3 linked regions of the Rattus norvegicus genome follow. The protein of the gene in region 2 interacts with the protein of the main gene of each other region in a biochemical or structural test. Links are inferred from orthologs where the notes say so. Each region holds a gene or a part of one and is shown on either strand. Other genes may lie near its edges.

Evidence for each region.
Region 1: of the proteins of Mapkapk2 (region 2) and Zfp36, one has a biochemical effect on the other in vitro, tested with the Homo sapiens proteins (2 studies listed by BioGRID). The link is inferred for Rattus norvegicus from reciprocal best matches to the Homo sapiens genes MAPKAPK2 and ZFP36.
Region 3: of the proteins of Mapkapk2 (region 2) and Zfp36l1, one has a biochemical effect on the other in vitro, tested with the Homo sapiens proteins (2 studies listed by BioGRID). The link is inferred for Rattus norvegicus from reciprocal best matches to the Homo sapiens genes MAPKAPK2 and ZFP36L1.

Annotation. Positions count from the first base shown.
Region 1 is NC_086019.1:92,793,181-92,802,760, forward strand, and holds Zfp36 (mRNA decay activator protein ZFP36), read right to left. Parts: upstream 5,929-9,580; 5' UTR 5,889-5,928; coding exon 5,847-5,888; intron 5,177-5,846; coding exon 4,238-5,176; 3' UTR 3,448-4,237; downstream 1-3,447. UniProt on the Homo sapiens protein: Zinc-finger RNA-binding protein that destabilizes several cytoplasmic AU-rich element (ARE)-containing mRNA transcripts by promoting their poly(A) tail removal or deadenylation, and hence provide a mechanism for attenuating protein synthesis.
Region 2 is NC_086031.1:45,107,516-45,116,958, forward strand, and holds the start of Mapkapk2 (MAP kinase-activated protein kinase 2), read right to left. Parts: upstream 4,812-9,443; 5' UTR 4,511-4,811; coding exon 4,274-4,510; intron 4,261-4,273; exon of another isoform or gene 1-4,260. UniProt on the Homo sapiens protein: Stress-activated serine/threonine-protein kinase involved in cytokine production, endocytosis, reorganization of the cytoskeleton, cell migration, cell cycle control, chromatin remodeling, DNA damage response and transcriptional regulation.
Region 3 is NC_086024.1:104,664,033-104,673,634, forward strand, and holds the start of Zfp36l1 (mRNA decay activator protein ZFP36L1), read right to left. Parts: upstream 4,659-9,602; 5' UTR 4,546-4,658; coding exon 4,489-4,545; intron 2,187-4,488; coding exon 1,227-2,186; 3' UTR 1-1,226. UniProt on the Homo sapiens protein: Zinc-finger RNA-binding protein that destabilizes several cytoplasmic AU-rich element (ARE)-containing mRNA transcripts by promoting their poly(A) tail removal or deadenylation, and hence provide a mechanism for attenuating protein synthesis.

The sequences.
Region 1 (9,580 bases), on a different chromosome or scaffold from region 2:
TCAATCAAACGGTTTGGCTTGTTTGAGACAGGGTCTCACCATGTAACTCTCGCTGGTCAGGAAGTCACTATGTTAGACCAGGCTGGCCTCGAACTCACAGAGATGCGCCTGCCTCTGCCTCCCGAGTACTGGGATTAAAGGCGTGCGTCACTACAACTACAGAATTTTTGAAGAATGAACATTTCCTTGTGAATTTTTTGCAATGTTTGGTGGAACAGTACCAAAGTTGCAGTTTCTATTCTGGTCGCCAGGGGGCAATAACGTCTCTCATTAAAATGGCCTGAGCGTCAAATGGAACCTCAATCTCAGATCCTAGGGATGGATGGATGGATGGTTACAACAGGCTCTTTTTGTATATTTTTCTTCTTGAGGTTTCTTTTTTTTTTTTTTTTTTTTTTTTTTTCCGGAGCTGGGGACCGAACCCAGGGCCTTGCGCTTCCTAGGCAAGCGCTCTACCACTGAGCTAAATCCCCAACCCCCTTCTTGAGGTTTCTTAACCAATTTTTTTTCAATACATACACTGAACATTCACTAGGTACCGTTCCTTCTGTCTCTGAGGACTTGACCTTTTTTCTTTCTTTCTTTTTTTCGGAGCTGGGGACCAAACCCAGGGCCTTGCGCTTTCTAGGCAAGCGCTCTACCACTGAGCTAACTCCCCAAGCCCAAGGACTTGACCTTTTAACCAGGGAGTCTGATTGCTAAAAGTCTACAAATTAAGTACATTTTTAAATTTGACGTTCACTATGTTACCCAGACTGGCCTAAACTCCTGGTTCTGTCACCATCTGGGAGTGTAAGTATATCTTTAGATTAGGTACTGATAAATACAGAGCAGGTAGATGAAGATCATCATGGCTGGGGATCTTAGTTTTTATTTTATGTATATGGGGTGTTTGGCTCCCAAGTGTGTCTCTGCACCACGTGCATGCTGGTGCCCAAAGAGACTGAAGGAGGGCGGCAGGTCCCCTGGAACTGCGGTTGCAGAGGGTTAGGAACCTTGTGGTGCAGGGAATCAAACCAGAGCAGCCAGTGTTCTTAACTGCTGATCTATCTCTCCAGCCCCAGGAGAGATCTACTTTGAACAGACACCTGGAGGAGAGGACGGAGCCATGGGAACACGGGGAGATGTTCCAGATAACACTCTAAAGCTGAAGATGGGTGTGTTAGTGGAGCAGATGAGAGGAGTGAGCAGGGGAGGGGTTGTGGGGCAGGGGCAGGATGGACTCGTGTGTGTGTATGTGTGTGTGTGCGTCTGTTGATTTTTTTTTTTAAAGATTTATTTATTTATTATATACACTGTAGCTGTCTTCAGACACACCAGAAGAGGGCATCAGACCCCATTACAGATGGTTGTGAGCCACCATGTGGTTGCTGGGATTTGAACTCAGGACCTCTGGAAGAGCAGTCAGTGCTCTTAACCACTGAGCCATCTCTCCAGCCCAGTAGTGAGGATTTTGAACTCTAGTGTCCTAACAAGTTTCCCAGAGCAACTGACTACAGGGAGGAACGAGAGAATAGGTACTTTTAGAACTGGGTACTAGCAAGTGGGCTTTTGATGAGAGGGCCCTAGAAGCTGGAGTGATTTGTAGACTTGGCTGTGTCTTTAAAGCAGGTCTAAGGGGCTCGTGTCATAGCATGCCTAGTGTCCAGAGGCCAGGAGAGGGCTCTGGATCCTCTGGAATTGGAGTTGTCAGCCGTCATGTGGATCCTTTGCAAAAGAAGCAGGTTCATTCTCAACCTCTGAGCCATCTGTCCAGGACTGGAGAGGTCATACACCAGGGTTTGGCAGATGTTGAACAAGTACTCTGTACTTTGCTACTTCCTCAAAAGAACAAGAAACTTTCTGAGGGGACCAGTGCCAGGGGTGGTAGCTGTGTATCCCTTTCTTCTAGTGCCCATCCATTTCTTCCTCTCAATGTCCAGTGCTGCTTACCTCTACCTACCTGGTGCCTCGGGGACTTCTGGGTTTCTGTTCCCCTCTCCCAACCCTGTTCTACATACCAGGGCCTGAGCTCTTTCTCACAAGGGAGGCAGTTTCCTGCGAGAGGAGACCAAAGGTCAGTAGAATGGAGTGAAAGACACACAGGTTACGGGTATACTGTTAAGGGAGGAAGCAAAGGGCCTAGCAGGAAGGACTACCATACAGGGAGACCATCTTAAAAAACAAACGGAACAAAAGTCCTAGGGGCTATGAGACAGAGGGGGTAACGGGGAGGAGCTACAGCAATAGGTGGGAGGAGTTGGGGAGAAGAAAAGAGGAAGGATGAGAGGGAGGAGGCTGAGAGGAGGGGAGGAAGGGGAGGAAAACGAAGAGGGGCGGGGCGCGGGCCCTGACGCGGGCAGCTTCCGGGTGCGGCCCGCCCAGCCTAGGCTGGCTGCGGTCTCGGCCTTTTTCCTTGTATGGTCGGACGACGAGGCTGCCCTACCCCTGCGCCCCGAGAGCTGAACCAGACGAAGTTCCGGAAATGCCCGATCAGGGTCTGTAGATGCTAGAAGGCCAAGATTCTTTAGGTGTCTGGAGACACTCAAGTTGCCTGGTGTCGGGGCCCGAGATTCCAAATGGAGCCTAGAATTTTCACACTTCTTTAAAGCCCCTGCTCCAAATCGGGAGGGTTCATATCTATAATCCTAAACATTCATAAGGTTGAGGCAGGAGGATTGCCAGGAGTTGCTCAGGGTTCAGAGGGAAACCCAGCCTTCCCTTCTTCCCCACCCTGCCCTCCAAAAAAACCAAAATCCATAAAGAATCGGCTGAGAGGGCTCAGCAAATATAAAGGCGCTTGCTACTAAGTTATAAAACCTAGTTCGATCCCGAGACCAACCAACTTTGTGGAAGAGACCCGATTCCTGACTAACACACTACACGTTAAAACGATAAAATTGGGCATGGTGACCTGCGCTTGTTATCCTAGCATTTCAGAGGCTGAGGCAGGAGGTTGCAGAGAGTTCAGATCAGTGTGAGCCAGGGTCGACCTTATTTAAAAAAAAAAAAAAAAGTTAAACTAAAATAAGTCCTCTGTCAAGCTCGCCCAGGCTGTCTACGCGGGGTTCAGAGTCCCCTAGGGGCCGGCTTTGGGGTGACCCCTGACCCTGGCCGCCCGGGCTCGCCTTCCGGCACATTCCGTCCTCGCCGCCCCGCCCCACCCCTCCCTCCTTCCTTGGCCCTGTGGGGACGGAAACATCCTGTCCCTGCCCGAGCTGGGTCAAGAGCCGGAGGGACAGGCCTGGAGCACCCCTTAGCCAAGAGAACTAGCTCTCCTTGTTCCTTTTGGGTGACCTCATCCCGCCACGCCTCCTCAGGTGAACAACCGGGCTAACGTCACTTCCTGCCAGGTAAGCGCCCCCCCCCCCCCCCCCCCCCCCCGGCAGCAGTGCTCACAGGAAGGTCTGGAGGTCAGTTTACCCACCATCACAAGGCTGTGGACCACGGAAAAAAACAAATTTCATCACAGTTCACACTCAAGATTTTATTTAAAAATTCCAAAAAAACCCACAAAAATAGACTTGTACGGTAACAATATATTACTTAATATATTATAGTATATACTTAATACAGTATCAGTTTTAACATTACAAAAAGAAAAACGGAGTAGACGACCCAATATATATAAATACTATAAAATCTTATTACAATAAATAAAGTCGTCATAAATAAAGGGTCCATTGGTTGGGGCAGGGGCGTGGGGGAAAAGGGATTTGGCAATGGCTTTGGCTATTTGCTTTGGGAGGGAAATTTGAGCACCAGGATTCTCAGGAGAGGCTACAACCACCGGACACTGAACTTCGGGGTCTAGTAAAAATTAGGATAGTATTGTGGGAGCCGGCTCTTCACAGCACTTAAGATTCCAGGAGACCAGAGTTTCCGAGGGGCTGGTGCATACCTGTAACCCCAGAACTTGGAAAAGGCTAAGGCAGGATTATATTGAGTTCAAAGCCAGCCTGGGGTACCGTAATAATCCCCTATCTCAGAAACAACATAAGACTTGAGACCTGGAAGATCAACTGTCAACTGTACCCCTCAAACATGCTACATCTCAGGTACCCTAGGAACGGATCCACCCAAACACTGAATTTGCAAACTAGGGACCTGCCCTAGCCCAGCACCAGGGGAATGGGTTAATGCAACTTGGAATGTCCAGGAGGAGGGACTTAGAGGAGTCCCCCCAGGTCCCCACAGCAACGAGCAGTTCCCTCCCTCTTCTTTGAGATCTAGCTGATCCACACTGGGCAGGCACTTGTCACTCAGAGACAGAGATGCGATTGAAGATGGGAAGACGCCTTGGGGGTGCAGGGGGCTGAGGAGGCCCAAACACCCCGGCCTCAAAGACAGGCGAGTCTGACCCACCCAGGCTGCTGCCGCTGCTGGCGTAATCATCAGGGTCGGATCCCAGAGAGTGTGCAGATGGGCTCCGAGCCAGACCACCCAAGGGCCCCCAGATGGTGCTAGGGGTAGTAGACCTTCGGCAGGAGGGACAACAGGCTGGGGTAGGGTCTCTTCGAGACACAGGGGTCCCAGGGGCAGCAGAGAAGGCAGAAGGGGAAAGTGGAAGGTCCCCAGGCGGTGGTGGGGAGCTGGAAGGCGAAAAGGAGCAAGAGGACAGGGAAGGGCCAGAGAAGCCTGGAGGTGGTGGTGAGGTTCTGCGGCCTGAAGGCAAGCCTGAGAAGCTGATGCTTTGTCGGAGCACATGGGGCTGGCCAGGGAGAGCCAGGTCCTCGGTAGGGTTGTGGATGAAGTGGCATCGAGAGCCGTAGGGGCAGCGGCCCTGGAGGTAGAACTTGTGGCAGAGTTCCGTTTTGTACTTGGGGTGGCGATTGGCTTGGCGCAGTTCACCCGGGCCGTGGGCAAACTGGCACTTGGCCCCATAGCGACAACGCCCGCTCTCTGAGTAGGTCCGACAGAGCTCAGTCTTGTATCGAGAGGAGGTGGTGGGAGTTGCAGTAGGCGAAGTAGGTGAGGGTGACAGCTCAGGGCCCGGGCGGGGAGCCAAGGGTGCGAAACCAGGGGGTGGGGGTACCCAGCTGCAGCTTCGGCCCTCCACCAGGCTAGTGGAGCGGCCAGTCAGGCGAGAGGTGACCCCAGATGGGATGGAGTCCGATGAGTTTATGTTCCAAAGTCCTCCGGAGGACTCAGTTCCTCCGTGGTCGGGTGACAGGTCATGGCTCATCGACATAAGGCTCTAAGGAGAATAGGGTTCGGTTAGGCCACCAGAAAAGGTAAGGTGACGACGCCCCGCCCCTGTGGTAAAGCACTTCACGAGCTTGTCATTCCGGTTTGTGGGTTCTCAGCCTGAGCCCCACCCGGCTCACAAATTTCAGGGAGAACCTGACTACAGAGGTTTGGGTGTTAACAAATGACTGAAGCTAATCCAGAAGGATCTAGGGAGCCCAGTATCCCCGATGGATCGAGAGAGGGTACCCCCAAATCAAAGCACCACGGCTGCTCGCCAATTTTGGGCCTTTAGACCTCCCCGGATAAGACCGCCCATCGGGCGCTCGTTTCACAACTTAGAGAAGCCGGCCAAAGCTGACCCAGGAGGCCAGATCTCTCTAGGACTCTGACCGGGTCAACTCCCCGCTCAACTTCAACACCTGCCTGGCCGCCAAACCGCGCCATGGACAGCGAAGGGTACTAGACAGGTGTGGGGCCGCTTCCGCCCTGCGCGAGTGACAGCAGTGCGCCAGCTTTCCGTCCCCAGGGGATCGCCGGTATCTAGACCGAGGCGCCGGGCTCACGGGCTCCCTCTCTCACTTCCAGCCAGTTAGGGCTAGTCTGAGAAGGAATGGAGGCGTCCGGGGCCTAAGTTTGGTGCGTCGAGGATCCGAGAGTGCTGTCTAACCAGTACTCACCTCGTAGATGGCAGAGAGATCCATGGTGGCGCGAATGGCCATGGAGAAGAGACCGACAGTCGGTTCGCAGAAGTCAGGCTGTGGGACCGCCGCAGGAGCTTTCGCCTTTTATGGGGCGGCCCGGGGGCGTGGCCACGAGAGCTTCCCGGACGCGCCCCCGCGGCGTAGCCCGGCCGGCCTGGTACTAGGCCCCTTCCGCCCATCTGCTGGTTAGCATGCACAATGTGCCTGAACTTGGCTCTCCCACAGCCCTCTCCCACGAGGTTAGTGGGGAGGGCTGTGTACCACAGATTTGGTGGTGATGGGAGTGGGGCGTCTGACTAGTTTTCAGAGGTTGAAGGTAGTCGGGAAGAGAACTGGGGCAGAAGTGGGGGCAGGGCTCTAGGGACAATTGACAAGGGCAGAGACTGAGAGGGCGTGTGCGTGTGAGACAGACGGGGGCGGGGAGAAACAAGCTGGTAGAGACAGAGATGGCCAGAAGCTGAGAGAAAAACAAAGAGACAGTGAGAGACATTCACACTGGACCCGCTGGTTTGGGATTGTGATTCCAGTCACTTGGGGAGGCTGAGGCAGGAGTCTGGGACTTCAAGGCCTGGCTCGACTGTATTGTGGGTTCTAGGGCAGCCTAGGTAACTTAGTGAGACTCTTGTCTTAAAAAGTAAAAAGGCCCCAGATGTTGGCTCAAACTTTTAATCTCAGCACTTGGGAGGAAGAAGCAGAGGGATCTCTGTGAGTTCGAGGCCAGCCTGGTTTACAGAGCGAGTTCCAGGACAGCCAGGAATACACATGAAACAAAAGACTGGCATATGGTTGTGATCCTGGTTCTGACCTATACGGAGTGGGGAGACAATAGGGAGAGGGGCCTGGGACACAAATCTCAGTGAGGAAGCCGGTTACAGAAGGATGAAAAGGGAAGTTGAAATAAAAACTAAAACCTGAAGGCACAGAACCTGTAAGACAGTTGGCTCAGGTAGGGACCGCTCAGAACTTTACTTCGCTCAGCAGCGCCCTTCCAAGTCTAGCAAGGCTGGACAGAGCCCATTTACCCAAGCTGCACTTTAAATTAAGAGGTTTTGCTTCCGAAGCTCAAGGCTGTAACAGCTTGAGTCTTTTATTAGGGAGGAAGCTCGCCTCTATTAAAAATATGGGCCACCTTCAACGTTGAATGGGTTTCTTGTAGTGCAAGCAGTCTTTAAGCAAACTTTAAACTCTCTCGAGGTCTGTAAGGGTTTTGTTTTTAGGTCGGGTCTCCTTAGCAGGCCTGGAACTCGCGATCCTCCAGTCTCCACCACCCAAGTAGTGTTAGGATTACAGAAATAGCTGCCACACCCAAGTAAAAAGTGTTATTTCAAAGATATCTCCAGTGAAAAACTGTTCTTGTGTATGGGGGTTATCATTGCCAGGAGTGTAATTACAATGCCGGGAAGTTCTAGCACGGTGCGTTGCGCACTTGTATCGAGATAGGGAGATTCTGCCAGGCTTCTCACTGGCTTGCCTCATAGGAGAGGGGTGTGTGTGTGTGTATGTGTGTGTGTGTGTGTGTGTGTATGTGTGTATGTGTGTGTGTGTGTGCGCGCGCGCGCGCGCGTGTGTGTATGTGGGGAATCCCTGGTGCAGCGCTTTCTGGGGCCAAGGGGCCTTCCTGGGCTGGTCCCGTGAGCAGGGCGGGCCGTAGGCTGCTGTGGCACGGTTGCGGCCTCCCGCTTGCCCGTGACTCACTCGCTTAGGGCGGGGGAAGGGGGCTTCCTGGAAGCCGTGACGAGGACGCTCAGCCCGGACGCTTGGGTTCCTCTCTTGTAACCAGGGTTCCAGTCTGTTGTAAACAGTCTCGAGGACAACGGGAAAAGAAGGGAAGGAGGGGCACAAGAACTTGCCTCCCGCCCAGTTTACAAATCCCTGAGCCAGCCAATTTTAGGACCAAACGCAAAAAGAAAGGGTTGGGGTGGGGCATGCCGGGGGTTTTCGGAGGCCAGCTGGGACTGGATCATGGAGGAGTAATTCCAGTTTCGATTCCCTGGAGACTGGGAGCCTTTTGCCATCCCTGACTCAGCCTGACCCCTCCTCTATCTGCTGAGTCATTGGGACTAAAGTCTGGCAGCCTGGTATTGGGCTACACTGCTGGGGTGGGAGATAGAGGAGGGGTGTAAGCATAACAACCCCTCTGAAAATCAAGACTTTAAGCTGTAGGACTCAAAGTGAGACGTCATTATCTAAAATATGGGGTCAGGTACTCAGCTCTTTCCTGCCCCACATCGGGTGTCTTGGCGCTCAACCCTTGTTCCTTTGCTTGTCCAGACACACAGATCACCTTATTCAGCACCAAGAATCCAGGCCCTACTTATTCTCCTTTAGAACCCATCCCACCCCCCACCCCCCGCCTTACTCCCTAAGACCTAGGGGTCCAAGTCCCACCGACTTAAGAGATCTAGGCCCCAGCCCCTGTTCTCTGGATCTAGGAGTCCCGAGTTTTGTCCAGTTCCCGTTTGTGTGCCCCAATCCCAGGAGGAAGTTCATGGCCTGACTCCTCCCTGCTCCCCACGTAGCCAGCGGGGAAAATCCGCGGCCCAGGCAGTGGCGGGAATCCCCTCTGGAATGACGGTGGGGAAGGGGACGGCTAAGGTCTCGCGGGACACGCAGCCACGTCCTGTGCACTCTGGGGTTGGGGGCTGGGGTAGAGAAAGGGGCGGAAACCAGAGAAGCTAAAAATATAGCAAGCACTTCCGGCCTAGGGGGAGGTGAACTCAGAGCTGAGTTTCCAGAAAAACAAGCAGGGACGGGAAACGCGGGGGTGTGAGAGCCAGTGGGCGGGCTGGGGCCGTGTACACGCGGCACGTGTGTGCCCGTCGTGATTGCCTGTGAGTGTGGTCCAGGCAGGGTGTTCCAGAGGGGACAACCAGTATGCCAACTGTAGTGTGCCCAGGGGATTGGGAGCTGTGCTTGCTCTGCATGTGTTGTGTGGGGAGCTCCTAGTTATGTAATTGAGGGCGCAGGTGCGGGGACGTGCCTGTGACTGATGCTTAAGTTTTCCATAGAACAGGGTTCTGTAAATAAATGTGAAGCCACCTGTCTGTGTCACTGACTTCTCCACATGTGCTGCAAGTGGCCTCTGGAGAATTGTCAACTAACTACTGCAGCTGTCTTTGAATGGACTTCATGGGAACTGCAACTTCCACCCCACCCCCACCTATCTGTGTGTAATTGAGCCACCGTGGGATCTGTGCTAAGTGTGCCATTCCTAGCAGGTGTCTGGGTGCTGGGATTGTACACATAGGACCTTGAAGTAGAGTATGTGGGGATTCTGTGGCTCACTCAGCGCTGTTATACTGTGTGTACAAATGTTATTTGTGGGTCTGTGCCCTTATTTGTGGCTGTCTTGGAGGTTGCCTGTTCCTGACAATGTGGTAGACCTGAGTCTGGGCATAGTTCCTCTGTGGACCAGTCATAAGGCAGTGAAACCAGTGAACTTTGGTGCTTGACGTAGCTGCAGGCGCGTGATGGGGAGTGCTGCGGCTTACTGATTGTGTGGCGCTCCTGTGTCTGCTTCTGTGGGCAGAACAGACTTGCACACACCCGCACCTAGATGCTGAGTGTCTGAGCCAATCTTATCTGTCCCCAGTGAATGAGGCTGCTCTGCCACAGAGCTGAGTCAGCCTGTGATGGGCAAAGTCTTGATGGGGTGAGAGATAGTGGGTTAAATGGTGGTTACAGGGTTGGGTAGTCACGTGGTTAGATGG
Region 2 (9,443 bases):
GGCCCATGATGGTTTTTCTCCCTAACTCCCCCGACTTTTAGCCACCTAACCATAACTTTAACTAGAGATTTCAGATTCCGTGAAAAGTCCAAAATTCAAATGAAAAAGGACCGTTGGATATTAACTAACCCATTTCTAATCCTGCATCAAGAGAGACCCAGAGTCCTGCTTTAGTAGAAAGGTCAGGATCACGCCGGGATAACATGTCTGCTGTCATCTTCCAAAAGAAATATTCTCTGAAGGCAGAAATTCAACCTTTCTGTCCAAAAATGTACAAACCCCCAACCTCAATGCCACCTAGCCTTTCTTTAGAAAATCCACAAGCCCTGCCCCCTTCTCCCCAAAAAGCAAAACAAACAAAAAAGAAAAAAAAACCACTTTAAAGCTGATTTGACCCCAAGACAAGTTACATTCAGTCCTCGAGCCCCACTGCTCCTGACCTACTTGGTCTCCTGCTCTTCCCCTCAGCTCTAGCCACAGCCAGTTTCAAGACTTCTGGCAGGTCCGTTCATTCCTCAGGGGCCCAACAAGTTCCCACTGCCACTAGCCAAGGCTTCCCTCCCTCGCAGACGCCTGTCTTTCAGAACACCTCTATTCCTGGTCACGCGATGCAGCCCCCAGAACAGCAAAGTCCAGTAGTCTTTCCTGTGAGAATCAAAAAGCTTCTGCGTGCTCAAACTGTGGCTGGCAACTGCATTTTCCATTTGGTTTTATGCCTGCATATTGGCTACTTTTACATAAACAGCTATGTACAAAGAATGGCCACCATACCTGACAATGCTGCCCTAGACTACATTTACTGATCTTGCCTACTCCAAATAGGTTTCTTGACCCCCAACATTTTATAGGGCATTAATGCCTCTGTCCTCTAGCCTAATAAACATGTGGTCAATGCTCCACAAACCGTCGACTCCCTGGAACCAAACTGGATGGCACGATCCTCCCCTCCTGTTTTCATCCAGCAGGTGTCAAACTGAGACTGCCCCTGCCAGCCACACTATCGGGCCATCTCTCCAGTGAGGACACAGAATGAGGACATTGCTGGAGAGGTGGGGCCCAGGCAGTGAGAGAGCGCTGGTGTTGCCCTTCAACAATGTCCCAGACAATGGTGAGAGGTTCTAATCTCCCCATCGTGTTACCAAAAGCAGCTACGTCACTGACCTAGTGAGGGAGGCACACTGGGGAAAGAAACTACAGGACCTTGCTTCCCTATCTGCGCAATGGAAAGATAAACAGAGATAAGTTATGACAACATTCCGTATCTTGCAAAGCAATAACACGCTTCACCTAATCGGCACTGAACAGCAGAGTGGGACAATAATACCAGCTTTAATTAAATTTGCTCAGCTAATACCTAAGCGTCACCATGACACAGTGAGGCAGAACAAAGTCATGTAGCCCCATGGGGAAGAGAGACAGCTCATACACAGACGGATTGAGACTGGGTGTCCCTACCAAAGAAATTACAGAATCCCCAAAGAGTAATAAATAAGATGTCTATCACAAACTCCTTAATGGGGGTGGGGAGACCTGCTATGCATCCAAAACTCAAGGGTCAGAGCAGCTCCTCACACCCCAGGCACTCTGAAGCAGCAACCGGACACTCGCTGTCAATACCACGGCAGTTACAAGTCGAGAGGGGCCCGAGACTAGGAAACCGAGGAACTGGGTTCAGTTCTCGCCTCGGTCAAGGGAATGGCAGGAATCACCACTTGCCTTCAGCAAGTTGTGTCTTCATTCTGGGCCTGGGTTTTCTCATCAACTAAATGAATGTGTTGGATGGTGATGACCTCTCAACTCGCTTCGAACTGACTGGAAGTGTGTGCATGACTAGGGGCTAGCAAGCAGGGACGGGCAAGCAAGGTGACAGCGTCCACCAGAAGCATCTAAACATCGGCTTTCCCAAGAGAATAAAGAAAAGTAGCAGGACCAACTGGTTCCTTTACTTATTTATTCTTATTTTATGTGTAGGGGTGTTATGCGTTTGTGTGTGCGTGCATATGCATGTGTGTGTGTGTGCATGCGTGTGCATGTGTGTGTGTGTGTGTGTGTGTGTGTGTCTCAAGTGCATAATGGTGAGCACAGAGGACAGAAAGAGCTCAGATGTCAGAGCCCCTGGAACTAGAGTCACAGGTAGGTGTTACCCACCTGAGTCCTCTGCAAAAGCAGCAAACGCTCCTCACAGCTGGGCCATCCTTAGGTTAGTTTTTATTTTTTTTAAGCCCCGGTTTCACTTAATAGAACAAAGAGCAGAACCTAGGAGCAGCCTTCATTTCCCATCATTCCTCGGGGCTATAAGACAGGCTTCTAAATCCCCATGAGAGCCAGGCTGGGCACTACGTCCCTAGGCATGGACTCAGTACACTGTATAGAGCACAGGTCTCTTCCCAGTACCCAAAGGGATCATCAACCCAGCCTGTTCCACTGTTTCCTCTCCCCGTGCTGCCCCCACTGTTTTGAAATCATTTCACTACTCAGCACCTAAAGTTTTCAAAGCGTAAGACTCGGCGGCAGTGGTGGTGCGTGCCACTGAAAGAGGATTTCTTTTAACCAGATTTCCCTCAAGGCTGCGATTATGTCTTAGCCAATATTTGGGTATGAAAATGCTGTTGACACGGCTGCCACTCTCCAAACATCTTGGCTCTCCTTTCTTCCTCTACTCAAAATCTCAACACAAAGATGTACGGGAAATCTGCAATCTGCCATCTGAGTCAGCCTTGAAGATCTGGGAGCGGGCTGCTTGTCAAAACAGTCTTCACCTACCCCTGACTAGAGAAGGGTTAGCATGAGGATGGTTTAATATGCTGCTAGCTTCTTTTCCTTTCAAAACTATCCAAAGGAGAAAAGTACACGAACTTCCGTTAACTATACCAGAAATCTGAATTGACAGCCTAGAGCACTTCAGAGGACAGTGTATTCAAACAGAATAGGAAAGGGTAAAGCAGGTTTTTCTGTTATTGTTGTGAAGTCTTTAGACTGTGTTCCAGCTAAGCAAGAGAATGAACAGCCAGTGTCCCCGGTCTGCTGATGGGTAAAGGCAGATGGCACGGCAGAGAGAGAAATGTTTCCGGAAAGAACATCTGTCACTTCCTCAACAATACAGTTAACTGTGGTCAAACTGTTCCTTAGCCTCCAGTCCCCAAGGTCAGAGCCACCGTTCGACCCAATCAACTCCTTTCCTCACTTACTTACTAACAGGGAAAGAGAAGTGAAAAGTACAAACGCTTCAGTATTTGGGGCCGTGTTAAGAGTCCCTCCCCAGCATTCACACCAAGCAACATTTTTAATGTGATGCTGAAGATGAAAACAGCAAAAACATACAAAGTCCCAGGTTTTGGTCCCGCATATGACAACAGTCTCAACTCTATCTGTACTATAGTCTATCTGTACTATAGAAGGGCTGGAACAAAGCAAGTTGTGTGGGCTGAGGGGGAAGAGAAAAATATAACACAGGAAGTAGTTTGCTCCTCCAATCATTGAGACACCTCGGGAGAAAGAAACCTGACAAGTGACCTTTAGAGATACGGTGTAACCTGAAACCCTTGAGAGAAGAAAACTTTGCAGTGACCCTGAATGACAGAGTCCGGTGGTTCACTAAGACCTTTTGAAATTCCCATTCTCCACTACCACAGACAGAAACAGAGGCAGGCAGACGTAGAGAAATTAAGAGTGGGTTTCCCAAATGCAGGAATAGTGTTTTCCTGCCTTTGAGTCTCCAGCTACGAGGGACCAGTTTATCAGCACTGGGCCAAGCCTTGGCTTACAGACAAGGCTTCCAACGGTGGAGGGAGCAATGGAAACAGCGCGGCGCAGCCTAAGGGGTAGCGCAGGCCAGGCGCTGGCGGTTCCAGACAATCGCGGGACACGGAGGCGGGGTCCCCAGTCTCCAGCGCCGCGCCGACGCGCCCCAGTGCTGCGCGCCGACCTCGCGAGGCCGGAGAGAGCGAAGTCACATTCCGGCTCCCAAATAAGGAGTAGGGTTAAGGAAACCTCAGAGAGCGAACTTCTCCAAACCGACCGACCAACCAGCTCAATGAGTAAAGGGCCTTTTGTGCCCGCAGAAAGGAAGGAGGGAGGGAGGATGGGGCCACCGTGTCCTCGGCTCCGGGTGAAGCGATCAGAGGCCGTCCCGGACCCAAGCGTGGCCTCCCGGCTGGATCCCACTCACACCCCAACATGGCAGTCCCCGTGAGTCCTCTCGGGTGCCGGCCACTCGCGGGGTGACCGGAAGCTGCACCGGATCCCAGCGCGATCCCGGGCGGCCCAGACTTACCTTTAGGGCGAATTTTTGCTGGGTTCTCTTGTCGAAGATCCGCAGCACCTTCCCGTTGATGCCCAGGCCAAGCACTTGGCTGGTGACCTTGTAGTCGTCGGTGATGGCGTTCTTTCGGATCTGCAGGCCCGACTTGACGTGGAACTGAGGGAACGGCGGCGGCGGCTGGGCCGGGGCGGGTGGTGGCGGGCTGGGGAACGGCGCCGGCGGAGTCTGGCCCGGAGAGCCCGACAGCATGGTGCCCGGCGACTCGCGCGCAGAGGAAGGGGCCGCGGCAGCCCCCTCCTCCGGCTCGGGCCCGGGTCCCCGCCACGCCCCGCCCGGCGGCGAAGTTTGCTCCGGGCTGGAGCCGGCTGCCCCGCCCCGGCCCGGCTCCAGGCTCGGCGGGTCGCGGGGCCCCGTGGGTCCCGCTGTGCGCCGCGGGCGCCCACCAGCCCTGCTCCCTCCCCCCGGAGACGAGCGCTCCGGGGAACGCGGGACGGCGGGGCCCGGCCGGGGGAATCGCCGCGCCGAGAAGTACCAGCCCGGGGGCGGCGGCCGCGTCACAGGCTGCTCAGCGTCCTGGGCTAGTCCTTAAAGGGGAGGATCGAGGGTGGGGCTTGGGAGAGGCGTGGGCTTGGGGGAGGGGTGGGCCTTAAAGGGGAGGAAGTCCAGTGGCGGGAGAGCATAGGGAGTGCGAGCTAGCGGTCAGGAAGAGAGCACCAAGAAATCCTAGTTCTTAACCCGGGCCGGGCAGAGGGAAAGGGAAGGAGGGCAAAAGAAAAGAGGCTGGATAATTCAAACAAAACCCTCACTTCTCCAACTGCTTGGATCTAGAAGACAGGTCATCGGGGAATTTGAGGAGGCGGTGTATTTTGAAAGAAACGGATAATTGATAAGAATCTTCCTACGTGGACCCTGGGGGTGGGGGCTACCCGGGCAGTGCGGGGAGCCGGGGGCGGAGAGGGGGGGCGGGGGTTACAGAGACTATTCATCCTAAGATTAGGCGTCAGGCAATAGTAAGGATTTCCTTAATATACTTGTGAGTTTTACTTTTTTTTCCCTCATGGACTTACTGGTTTTCTGAGACTGTATTGCTGTGTTATCATGACCAATTTAGTTATTATGCATTTGAACATATTTTTATGTAAACCCAACATGACCCAAGATAGGAAAGGGATGAGGCACTGTAGCTGCCTGTAATCCAGGGTTATCTGCAGGAGGTTGAAGCAGGAGGATGATGTGTCAGAGGGTCAGCCTGAGCAACAAAGGCAGACTGTGTCTCAAAATACCCATAAACTTCATGTCTCTCTGGGAGGTACACCTATGCCTTTGTGTTCTAAACTCATTGAGATTATAGACCAAGGGGAAAGGCAAGGGGAATAGTTCTTGGGTGGTTGAGGAAATCATCCCTGAGGCTATGACCAATAACTATTCCTGTAGCAGCCTAGTTCTAGTAGAAGTAGAAAAGGGCATTGGAGACATAGCCCAGGAGAATAAGGTTCATTTGCTTTTCCCTGTTTAGATTTCCAGAAGAGGCTTGTCCCAAGGAAGACAGAGGTGGACAGGTGAAGGACAGTAGTTCCCCTCTTGAGATCCAGCAAAACTGAGACGACTGGTGCCCTTTCAAGAAGCACTTTTTTCAGCACTAGGTTCCATGCTCCTGGCTTACCCCTGTGGTGATAATGCTAACCCAGGGGAATGGATAGATGCAGTAGTTGGGTCAGCAGTGTGGCAGATACAGGCCTGGGAATAGAAAGCAAATTAGCTCACTTCAGTCTGCAGCTGGACAGATCCCTTCCACATTGCACACAGGCTAGACAAGTCCCGGTTTCAACGACACTGCTTGAGGCTATGGAGATGCAGGAACAGGGAAAGGAATCTGGAGATGAGGAGGTGGAAGGCCTCACTGGCTCCAGCGGAAGGAGTTCCCATCCTGACTCACTCAGCTCTGTGTTGCCCCATGTACCCACAGAGGGTCTTCAGAACTTCTCATTGGCATTGGCCGTCACCTGTCTCTTTGAGCTATTCAGAGGCAGTGAGGCACAGTGGGAAACTACAAAATAGAAATGAACAGAATCCAGCTGTCCTAAAAAGGTGTGAGAGGTATAACATCCAATACCAGGAATAAAAATTTTCAATTCCCTGGGTTGCATACTGGGCTTCTCAAAAGGAGCCACTGACAATTTAGTCAGTGACAAACTGAACTAGGGGGGATATCTCCAGAGCTGAGACAATCTCCTGGACACCTGGCCAGAGGAGATAATGGGGCCAGAGCTGAGCTGGTCTCTGGAATTCAAGGTCTCATCAAATATAATGAAACTAACATAGCAGCCAGTCAAAAGTATACTAACGTCACTGCTTTGCCCCTACCATTCATAGTAGAGGTTATTAGAGGTTATCTAATCCTTCTGGAAAAGTCCCCTAGCACTGAATTAAAGGAGGCCTGCAAGCCCCTCAGGTTCTCACCATTTCCATGAATGGTTGACCCCTGCGTGCTGGTAATTTCTGCAGAATAAACACTCTTTGCCTTTGCATGCTATTTGAGTCTGGGGTCTTCCTTCAGCAATTCTTGGACCCTAACAGGTACCTTAAGCAAACCATTCTTAGCAGCTCTCTCTGGGAAAATGAGAAAGATCCTAACATTTCCATTTATGACTGAGGAGAAACTGAATGTGATGGCGTCCACGAGAACGCTTTACAGAGCATACAGCATCAGTTCTCGTGAAAGATTAAACACCACCATCCCTCCAGCTTTGCTTCCTTGTTCCTTGTTCTGTTCCCATTGTGTGGCGACCTGTTCCGGACACTGAGCAGCCTTCCTGTGTAAGGGGAATTCTGGGAAGATGCCTAGACCTGAGGTCTTAGGAATAATGGATCACAGAGACCCAGTGAAGCGTTTCTCCTGGAGTTACAAAAGCCAGATGAAGCTAGAGAGCACACAGGACAACCACAACACACACACACACACACACACACCACCACCACCACCACCACCACCACCACCACCACCACCACCACACCACACACCAGAAAAGAACACTCATGTGAGCACAGCTCCAAAGGACAGGGCACCTGGCATGGAGCAGTATGGATGAGTAACCCATGGCTAGCTGGCCGGTAGGACGAACCACAGGAAAAGACACTACAAGAGACCCAGAACCTTCCATTCTAACACTGGGTAGCCATGTGACCTTACAAAAGTCCCTTGCCCCCTCAGTTCCTTCTTTCCTGTCTAAAAAAACAGTAGCGATGGCATCTGTTCTGCCCACGTTGTAGAGATATTATAAGGACAAAATAAAGCCCAGAGTCCTGCTTGTCTAACACCAGGCTCTCAGCCATCTGTAGTGAGCTGCTCAAGCAAAAGCTGTTGAGGATGTGTAAAAGCACTTCAAAAGGTGGAAGTCAGGTTGGGGTTGTAGATCAGAAATAGCGTATACACTTATCATGTGAAAAGTCCGGGCGTGAGCCCCAGAAAAGCATTACAAAGATGTAGGGAATCTAGTTACAAAAAAACATTTAGGATTTATATTGACATGCAGATCAATACCGTGTAATATAGCATACATGAAGACAATTGAAGCACCACACGTATATAGAATTGTATCAGTTGCCGTCCTGGATTCATGGCTCACGTTGGTTGTTAGAGGATTGGTCTCTGCATTTCTGTTTTTCTTAAGTCATAGTTCCTTAATAAATCCAGAGGCACCTGTGGTCCCACTGCCGAAAACATGAACTCAGACTTGGACAACAGCGTGCATCTAAAGCGTTGAATCCTCAGACAACCCTCCGGCCCATCCCCGTGTGTCACTCAAGACAACCATCACTGCGCGCTCTAGTCACCTTTCCCGGGCTTCCCTCTTTATACGGCTTTAGTTTAGGAAGACATGCTTAAAGGTGTCTTTACAAGCCAGATAGAATGGTTTAAACCTGCACTCATCTTTGGAGGATGATGAGGGAGGATTGGTGCAAGCTCCGAAGCCACTCTAGGCTACATAATGAGTTTAAGGGAAGCCTGGGCTACCCGTGGCATGACTCTGTCTCAAACAAACCAAATTTTTAAAGAAATGATATAATGGATGAAGCTCAAAGTATCTTTTAAAAGAAGAGAAGTGGCCAGCAAGATGTGGTTACAAAGTATTCACCACCATCTCATGGCAGCAAGGGCAGCAACAGGTGAGTGATGGCTCTAAACCCAGCAGGTGTTCGGGTTTCTCACAACTTGGATTGTCTTGTTTAACTCTCAGGAATGTCTCTGTAGCTGAGATTGCCAGTTGATTTAGCCAGTCAATGTCATTTTAGCCTCCCACTCTTTGACAGTGACAGAGATGCAATATTTAGCTAAGTATATGCCTGTCTAAATACAAAATTCACTTCGTAATCTCTCTACGTCTGTTCCAGCGGGTTCCTATGCCAGATTTTAAGTTCTAGGCATTGACCCACAAATGAAAGTGATATAAGGGAAAATGCGTTTCCTCTGAGGTTAGAACATCCCATCTTGGAGGAGCACTCCATAAGACATGGGAGTCTTGTGAAATAACAGGATGTTTTAAGGGGAAGTGAGGCATTCTGTCACAGAGAAGGTCTTTAACACCAGAAGTAAACAATTCGAAGGCTTCAAGAAGTCCCTGAAACTCCATGATCCAGTAGATCTCTCCTTCCCCAAGCATACATGGGTGTAAAGACTGTAGAGAGACACTATCAGAGAAGCAAAGTTGCCTAAAACAGGCTCAGACCAGCCAAGCTACTTGGGAGAAACAGAGACCAGACCAGCTGCCTGGAACGGACTCGGACCAGCTGAACTCCCTGGAAAGGATACTCTCCAGCCCACTGCGCTACCTTACATTTTAATAACAAACTCTGTGTTTCCAGTTTTCACGAGCGCCCACCCATCCTGGGATGATCTTCAGTGATGCGGCTTTCTCTGAGTCATTTCTGCCCCTGTAGTATCCCCTTGCCCATATTTCTGTAAGTAACACCACTGAAACTCTTTGATTAACCAGGTTGTACTTTGGTGGTACCCTTACTTTGGTCTGTCATTGGTTCCCTGTTCGGGATGAGCAGAGGTTTGCTATGTCACCCCAGGAATAGTGTCACGAAACACCCCCCTCCTCTTTTCTCTTCCCTGTTAACTAGAATGAAAGTCTCTGGAAATTGGGCAGCCCTCTTGGATCATGGAAATGAAGGCTGT
Region 3 (9,602 bases), on a different chromosome or scaffold from region 2:
TTTGTCATCCCGATAAATATGAACAAAATTAACAAAAAAAAAGCATAGTTTGGCAATAAATACGTCTTGATAAGTTAAATAAGCTTTTTTATATTGATGTGCAGTGATAAAGCAACATTTTTGCTCTCCAATTTCTGAAAGTTAGATGAAGTTTAAACCCAGGGACAAAAGCATGGCGTGAGGGCTCTAAGGTAGACCTAAGGTATTCTAGAGCAAAATCCATTAAAGCTACGTCTACAGGAAATTGTTTTACACAGATATTGTATGTGGAATGAATACCATTACTGCTCACCCCTTACATGGTTTTCTTCTTTTTTTTTTTTTTTTTTTTTTTAGCTTTTCTCTCATTTGTTGTCATTTTTAAGATGTCACATATGAATTGGGGAACTTTAGCACCAAAATCAAGTCTCTCATAGTCCATCTAGTTTCCCCTTCCTCCCCACTTAAAAAAAAAAAGAAAGAAAAAGAAAAAAAAGAAATTAAATCACAAAGTCCCACTTATGTCAAAACCTTCGTCCAACTTGTTCAACCTTTGTCCCTGGAGACCTACACAAACCCAGGCAAGATTAGTCAACAGGGGTTCGAGCTGGGAAAAAAAAAGGTTTTGAATGTCAAAATAGGTCCCCACCCACCCAAACCCCCGCCCCCCCCCAAGTCCAGCAACAATTCTCTGAGGGAGGCAAGTATCTACAAGGAAGAGGAAGAATGTGCGGGAGACTGAAAGGAAGGTGCACTTGTGTGGCCAGCTGAGGGAGCTGCTGGTTGCGGGTCACCGCTCCCCCGCCCCCAAACCCCACGGGCAGAGGCTCTGGGAGGCCCACGGGTGCCCCCTGGCGTTGAAGAGGTAATGTAGTCACAGTGACAAAGTTAGATTACAAGGCACTAAGTTGCTTCTGTAAACGGTTACTGCTTTTTTTCTTTTGTGATTTGGCACTTAAGGCTTAAGCCGAAAAAAAAGGCATCTACTGACAAAGATGGGACTCTGTTATGCGTGGTTAAGTGGGCTATGAAATGGAGGGAGGGGGTTTTCAAGCCAGAAGCTACCAACAAATTGACTTGTCCTTATGTTGGGGGAAGGGTAACATACCAAGGTTCTGGGAAAGGGGTTGAGCTTAAATGTATGAATGTAGGGTTTGAAGGAAAGTTAGGGGGTGGGGAGGTGAAGGTATGGGATGGGGTGCAGGGTGGAGAGGTGAAGGAGGCAGGGGGTCCCTCCCTACCCTGGCTTAGTCATCTGAGATGGAGAGTCTGCTGAAAATGGGCAGGCGTCTTGAGTTGTCCAAGGTAGGGGAGTCTGAGCCACTGTGGCTGCTGCTGGAGCTGCTCAGGTAGCCCTCATGGTCCGAGAGAGAATCCTGAGGGCTGGGGGGAGAGTCAAACATGTGAGGGGATTCGGACATAGGCCGGAAGAGGAAGGTGGTGGGGGAGCCTCCCCCGGGCAGCCCCATGCTAGGAGCAAAGAGGCTCGCCAGCTCCTGGCTGGAAAAGGCGAAGGGGTTATTGGTGCCATCGGGCAGGGTAGGTGAGCCCAAGAGGTCATCGGCGCTCAGGATGGGGGGTGGGGTGATGGACGTGGGGCTGTCCAGCAGCCCCGTGGCAGCGGCGGTGGCAGCGGCACTGGGAAACCCAGCAAAGCTAAAGCTATGCTGGAGGCGGGGACGGTCAGCGGAGAGGTCCCGGCCCCCCGCCAGGGCGCGTCGCTCCTCGGCGTTGTGAATGAAGTGGCAGCGGGGCCCATAAGGGCAAAAGCCGATGGTGTGGAAGGTGCGGCACAGCTCCGTCTTGTACTTGGGGTGGCGGGTCAGGCTGCGGAGCTCGTGGATGCCGTGCGCGAACTGGCACTTGTCCCCGTACTTACAGGCACCGTTTTCTTCGAAGGGGCGGCACAGCTCCGTTTTGTAGCGGCTGGAGTTGACCTGGCCGCTCCCAGGCTGCTTCTGAGTGGGCAGCAGCCGCTCGCCCCCTTCGGAGAAAGAGCGGTCTCGAAAGCGGCTGTCGCGTGAGCTCAGGGTCGGGGCCGGCTCACCCTTAAGACTGCTGAGAAGCTGGTTCTGATGGAACTTGGAGCTGGGCAGAGTGACCGAGTGCCTCCGAGGGAAGCCCCCGCCAGCAGGGGTGCCCACTGCCTTCCTGTCCAGCAGGCAGCCCCCAGCACTGGGAGTGCTGTAGTTGAGCATCTTGTTACCCTGGAGGGAGGGGGGAGAAAAGGACCGGTGAGTGACTGAGGACATCCACGAGGTCAGGGCATGGTGTCCACAAAGGACAGCACCTTTCATCTGATAGGCCTGTCTCTCTAAAAGGAGCCACCTGGGGTTTATTTTGGCACTGCTCATAAGAAACTACAAAACCCTGCCCTGTGTGGAAGAAAAAAAGTTACGTATTCAACCTGCTCCATGCTGACCCGATACGCAGCTTGACCCCCAAAGCCAATTTTTTCACTCGAAAATCCAGGCCCTGGTTCAAACATTCCTTAACTCAGAATCTTTCACACAAGACAGTCCCCTCTAACTTTTCTTCCCCTAACAGAATCAGGTAAACCAGGTTTAGAAGTTTAGAAGACTAAGCACCAGAGCCAAATCCTCTCTCAATCAGTCCCTGCTTACCCGCCATCCCCTCCCCCCACCCCCACACACATAAAATCTAGCCCCACACTCCATTTCCTCTTCCACAAATGTACCCTTCCTTTGGCAACAGGTCTTCAAACTGCACTTTTTCCTTCCTTTCAGAAGGGCCTAGTCTGGGATGTGGGGAGAAGGCTATATGGTGTCTGAAAACACAAATGCATGGCCCCCAAGCTTCAGGAAGGGTACCCCAGACCCTGGGAGGGACAACTCCCAGCATTCCCCACCCCCTTTCACTGGAAAGATGCCTTTGCACTTGGTCTCCTGGCTGCAAGAGAGGTCTGGATAAGAGCTCCAGTGTTTAATCTTGAACCAAAGTGCAGATGAGAACGTACCAGCACACACACACTCCACGACTCAGTCAATTGTGTGTGTTGAAGGGGTGGGGGGAGGTGAGCAGGGACAGGACAAACCCTAGTCACCTGCTCAAACGACCTAAGATTTAGAAAGAGTGGGGGTAGGAAACTTGAAAGTTATCTCCAGGCCCCTGACACATGTGGGTGTGTGTCATTGTGCAAATTCTAAAGTTAGTCCCTTAGGATCAGCAGCAGGGGATCGGGAATCGGTAACCCTGTAACCGCAACCACCCCACCGAGCGGATTACAGGAACCCAGAGGAGAGCCGGTTCCCAACAATGAGGTTCATTTAAAAAGTCCTGCGGGGGGAGGGGGCAAAAGAAAGAGAAATAGATCAAAGAGCGGGCAGCAGGGACGAGAAGGATGGAGTTGCCTAGCTCAGGCAGCCGCCGGGGCAAACAGACTTGGAAAAACGCAGGGAGGGAAAGAAGCCGAAAATGCAAAGTTTTGATGTTGCTCTACTGCTCCGGCAAGGCCCTGCACCCCAACCCTGCAGCCCTGGGGCCTTGGCAGCTGCATCGACAGGAGCAGCAAGCTAGGAAGAGAGCAACATGACCCGACGTGTTTAAGGGAAGGCAAAAACAGTTCAGCAATTAAAAGTAGCCTAGCAGCTTCAGCCTTTCAAATTGGGGGGTTGGGGGATGTAGAGTGGGTAAAAAATTAACAACATCCACAGAGTTGAACATTTCAACCGCACTCTTGGAACATTACGGTTTTAAAAGTTTGTGTTTTGTTTTGCTTTCCGAAAACCTGACTGGCAAACTACCCCATTTTGGCCCTCTTAAATCCTAACTGGCGGGAACTTGAGGTCTGGCAGCATTTTGTTCCCCTATTCCTTAGTCAACGAACCGTAGTGCCTCACACACAGGTAAGCAAACACTTTCAGCCCAAAGTTTGCAGCATGATCGACCAGCTCTCGCGGAGGAAGCCTAGTTCAGCTGGGGCGGACAAACTCCACTACAGAGTCACTTTGCCTACATCTTTTTGAACCTTAAGTTGGTCTTTTTTCTTCGCCGCATTACCTATTAGCCTCCCAAAGCAGACAAGAAAATTCTCCCAGTCACATACCGCCCTAAGTCTTGGTTTTTCCTAGAGACCCCTACGCCACAGGCTAGCAAAAGGTGTTGAGTAACCTCGAACACCTCCAGCGGGCACAGAAAACCCAGAGTGCACACCGTGAAGCCGAACCCATCCGCTTACCCCAGCTCCAGCGGTGCACCATGCAGAAAAGAACCCTTCAAAATTTGTCCCAATCCTAACCACTGTTCCGCACTTCCTTGCCCCGCAAACTGGAGCAGTCGCCCAGAACTTTGCTCCCCGAATTCATATAGAACTTCACCTGGGACCTGAAACTTGGGAGTGAGGACGACATGACCAAATTCCTTCACCATGGAGGGAAACACAAGCAATGAGTCCTTCACTCCCTCTACGCTGTTTCCCCAGACCCAAACTTTTAGTTTCTTTAAGCCCAAGAGAAACTTTCAAAAAGCCAACGCTCCGCCCTACTTTACCTTGCATAAAACTTCGCTCAAGTCGAAAATGGTGGCGGACACGAGGGTGGTGGTCATCGTGGGCGTTCGCACGGGGCAAGGACTAGGATCTGTTGTGTCGTGAAGGTCCCGGTGCGGGGAAGGCGCAGCCTCCGGCTCTCCGGTCAGGAGTCCCACACGCCTGCTCCCGGCGCCCCTCGCCTTTCTGACTCTCCCGGGCTGCGGCGAGCAAAGCCCAATTTATAAGATATGAGGGTTGGGAGGGTGGAAGGAGGAGCTTTAAACTTATTTAAATGAAGAAGAGGAGGTGGAAAAAAAGTTGATTGACACCGAGGTTGAATCAGCCATGCGGTCAAGAGGGAGGGAGGGGGAGGGAGGGAGGAAAGAAACTTTCAAAAGGAAGAAGGGGGAGGGAGACGAGGAAAGAAGGCGGAAAAAAAAAAAAAGCACTCGGAGCGGCGCAAAACTTTTTTTTCTTAAAGAGGAAAAGTTTCGAGTCCGCGGGCTCCGCTCCCGGGCTCTGGGGGCGCCCCTCCCCTGGGCCGAGCCGGGCAGAGGGGGAGGGGGGCCCACCCTTTGTCAGCCTCGCTGCTCGGCTCTGTGACATCACTCATTCCACCCCCTTCTGAGTTCTGGTTGTTGTGTTTGTTGATTTTTTTTTTTTTTTTAAGGGTTGGAAGGCGGGCTCGACTCTCTTCCCCCAACCCCCCTTTCTCTCCTCTCCTCTCTTACTCTTTTTTTCTCTAGCAGGAGCTGAAGCTGGTCCCGAGCGGGCCAGGGCTGCGGTTTCCATCTTGAGCTAGTGTCCCTTGAAACTTCTCCAAGTTCCCGCACGACTTACCGTCTCCTGACTTCCCTGTCCACACCCGGCTACCCATCGCAAAACGAGCCGGGAGAGGAGTTTAGGAATGCGGAGCACCCCAAATGTTCGAGTCAAGAGTTTTATGTTTGTTGTTTCCCACCAATGGGAAAGAGAAGTAGGGGTGACCAGAGAAACTTTTCCTCCCGGAGAGCCCAGCCTGGCGGGGGCGAGAGCAGCAGGATTTTGCGCGCAGCGCTCGTGTACACGCGTGCTGGCCCGCAGCCTGCGCTGGCCCGGTAGGGTGGGGGCACCGTGGACTAGACCACTGCCTGGGCAGAATTCTTTTAGACAGACCTAGTTGGGGCGTCTCGTTCACACAACCGATCTTTAAACTTGCTACTACAGAAAAATCCAGATTTTCATGGGCGCCCCTTGAAAATAAAAGAGCAACAAGTCACTTTCCGCGCGCGCTTTGAATTCGGGCTACCTCCTCCACACATCCCCGAATGTTAAAAACAAGGGGAAAGAAGTTACTTTGGTAAGAAGGAAGGTAGAGGTGGGGGAAGCGACACTTTTAACTTCTTGCTGCTCTCCCGCCCCCACGCGAACGGAACATATGGCTTGTCACTATGCCCTGTTTGGGGGTGCCAAGCAATAAGACCCACGGAACCCAATGGCCTTCAATGAATTATACCGCCCTTTAAAACCGCGAACTATGTGTTTATTTACTATTAGGTTTGGCTGCCTCCCACCGGCACAGGCTCGCGTGCTGCAGTGGAGACCCGGGCGGAAATCGCGGGCCGCGCCGCCCAGGCCTCGCACGTTTCTTCCCAGCATTCGAGGCCGCCGGGTCTGTTATGAAACCCGGTGAGCCGAGTGGCTACGAGCGAGTTCCATTGCGATGTAATTAGGTCACCCCATTACAAGTACGTTTCTCTGGAAAGGACGGAGCGGGCGGAGCGGAGCGTTCGAGGCGCACCACCCCTTACACACACGCACACTTTAAAAAAAAAAACAAAACTTTATTTATCGCCAGCTTCTGGGCAAACCCAGGGAAACCATCCAAATCACAACTGTTTTAGAAACAAGTTTTTTTTCTTTTAACTTTGCGAAACACGACTTTTGCTGCAGCCCACGAGCCTAACATTAATTCCCCGCGGAGTCTCTGCTTGATTCGTCTCCAGTGACTTGAATTGATGGCTCCCCCATTTTTAACACGGCTGCTGCCCCTGGGTTTTGGTGCTGCTGCTGTCCAGCCGCCGGTTGCTTCCCTCCCCCGCTCCCATTTTTCATCTTTTCTTGAAATCTGGCAAGCGGCAAGAAGGGAAATAACTTCCATCCACCTTAATTTAAATCATTCGGGTTTGTAGGTTTCTTTTTAAAGGGATGTTTGCTCGGTCCCCTCCCCAGTTCCAAGGGGGTTGATGTGTGCGCGCGGATTTCGTGCCGTTTCTCGGTGATGAGGTAATGAGTTCCAGATTTCGGGACAGAACAGGGTGCGTTAAAACCACAAGGTTAGACTGAGTCCTGATGTGAAGCTATTTCGGCTTTTCATTCCGCACGACCCGCCCGGCTGGTCTAAACTCCCGAGTGTTTGCGGAGCTCAGCTGCGGGAGACTCTGACCGGGGAGGGGCGACCTCGCCCGGTGGTGCTGTCCCTGGGGCGGCGGAGCGGGCTTGGACACTCCGAACTGCCTAAGTAATTTTGTTGTTTTTCTTTTTTTTTCTCTCTCTCTCTCTCAAAGAAGAAAGGCGATTCCTCGAATTTCCTACCCCTTCCCAGCTCCCTTGGGCCTCCCCTCCCCCGCTTCCCGGGGCGCGGGCTCCGCGGGCGGCGCGCTCCCGGGTTGTTTACCCGCCCCGCCGACCGCCCGGGTTTGTTCCTGCTCCCAGAGCCCGTCTCTATAATTAAACTCTTTTTTCTAATTGTCGGGTTGCAACGTCATTTAGGGGACTTTCCAGGGAGGTGGGGGGAGGGAGCACTCCTTAACCCTTCGCTAACCCTGCGTCTAGGACACAAGGCCCGCGCAGAGGCCGGAGACCCGCAGGTAGGCCGCAGGTACCCAGCCAGCCTGAGCCAAGCCGCGAGGCTCCAGAGACTCGAGCCCAGGCCTCCCATGCGCCGGGCCGCACAGGCCGCCGCCTTCACCTGCGCCGCCGCTTCCGCCCGGGGGGCGCCGCTGTCGCCGACTTCCGGTTCGCGCGTCCCCGGCCGCGCAGGTATTTTGGGGGTGGGGGCGGGGCCGCGAGGTTTTGAGACCCGAGAAAGTGAAAGTCCTCGGGAAGTCCGGAGGTGAGGAGACTGTGTGAGTCCGCCAAACCCGAGCCGAACCAGTTGACCTTGCTGAGGGGGAGCTTGCGGCGCGGGGTCGCCTGCCCCCAGAAGGCGGAACCGGTCAGTGGCGCCAGGCGACGCCTCTGAGAGCCTAGAGGGGTTGCGTTTCCTCCTAGGCTCCCGGTCATTTGCGAAATCTCCCAAAGGCTTCGGATTGAAATCTGATCTTTCCCAGTCCTTGCTACTTGAGCCCTGGGGGTGGCCTCGATTTCCCTGTGTTAAAGGTAAAAAGAACTGGCCCAGTGAAGCCCTGAAGTTACCTGGGTTACCTGTCTGGATTGTGGACCCCAGGCACAGTGATTCAGATCCTCTAAGGATGGACCCAAGGAACTGGCACTGAGCAGTTGGGGATTCAAGTGTTGGTTCTGTCTTCTAGCTGTGATTTATTTTTATTTATTATTGACACGAGGTCTTGCTATGTTGCCTAGGCTGGCCTCAAATTTGTGTATTCAGGGGAGCCTGGGAAGAGTCAGGTGGGCTAGGAATGTGTCACGAGAACCTGTTGTGTAACCTTTCTGAATATTCTGATTATTACTACAAATGCAAACAGTAGGCATGGGAGTCTTCGAATAGGGGTAGAAACCAGTCTCCTATGTGTTTAAGTCCTAAGCCCCTCAGAGCACTTAGTATCATTGAGCTGTCACATCCTCCAGAACCAGGCAATGACCCCAAGGACAGGGCAGTCCAGATCCTACTGTAAATGAAGCATTTGCCCTGGGTTTGAGTCCTTAAGAGGTGAAGATACAAGGCTATCTCCTAGACTACTGAGAGTCCAACCCTGATCCTCGCTGGGACCTTAATGGGGTATTTAAACCTCCATTCTTAGGTTAATTGTTTCAGATCCCTCAGGAGTAGTTGGAAACTCTTCCCTTGGCTGTACCCTCTTGCCTGGGCCTAAGGAGAACAAACCCCTCTTCTTAAACCACAGCCCTTGACTTTCACTATTACTTCCACACCCCCAGGGCATTCTTTGTGCTCTTATTTAAGGGAAAATAAGTCATCTTCCTCCTACCCCTGTGCCTTTGCACATGCAAATCATGTCTGAAGTCACGGGCCCAAGGGTTTTTTGTTTTGTCTTGTCTTGTTTTAAGACTGGGTCTCTCCTTGTAGGTCTGGTTGTTTTGGAACTTACTGTATAAACCAGGCTGCCTCAAACTCAGAGACACTCCTGCCCCTGCCTTCCAAGTGTTGGAATTAAAAGCTTGTACCACCACACTTGGCTAATTTTTTTTTCATTTTTGAGATAGTTTCATGTAGCCCAGACTGGCCTCAAACTCAATTTATAGCTGGGGATGGATGCCCTTTGAACTCCAAACCAGGTGCCAAGATTATGCCCAAGAAAGTTTGTAATCATTGTTTTGTAGCTCAAACATCACTTCCTATGGAAAACATTCTTGGCTGCAGGCCGACCTCAGCCAACACAATGTCTCCTCCTGCTGTGTGCCCATGGAATGTGTGTTTCCTTGAGTAGTTTTGAGTTTGATAGCGCCTGGTCCTTCTTATGGCTGTTTTACTTTTTAATACAATAAAGTTGATCTTTGATATACGTATTTATGAATATTAACAGATTCACTGAGGAGTCACCACAGAGAGTTCCGTCATCCACAGCAGTTCCATCAACCCTCAAAGAATACTTGGTAGTGTCCCTTTGTGGTCAGACCTTGCTCGATCCTTAATCCCTGGCAACCACTGATATGTTCTCAATCGCAATAATACTGTCTTCTCTAGAGTGTCATATAATTAAAGCCAAACAATACATATTTCACAGCACAATGCCCGTAAGATTTATCCACGTTGCATATATTGATAGCTCATTCCCTGCTATTGACAACAATAGCCTCCTGGTGTATAACTATATAATAGTTTGCTTACCGTGAACCTATGGGGCATTTGGGCTGGAAACAGAGCTGATTACATGTTCATACACAGATTTGTGTGAGAGCATAGCTCTAACATCCCTCGGGTAAATAAAGATTTCTAGGACCATAGAAATTAAAA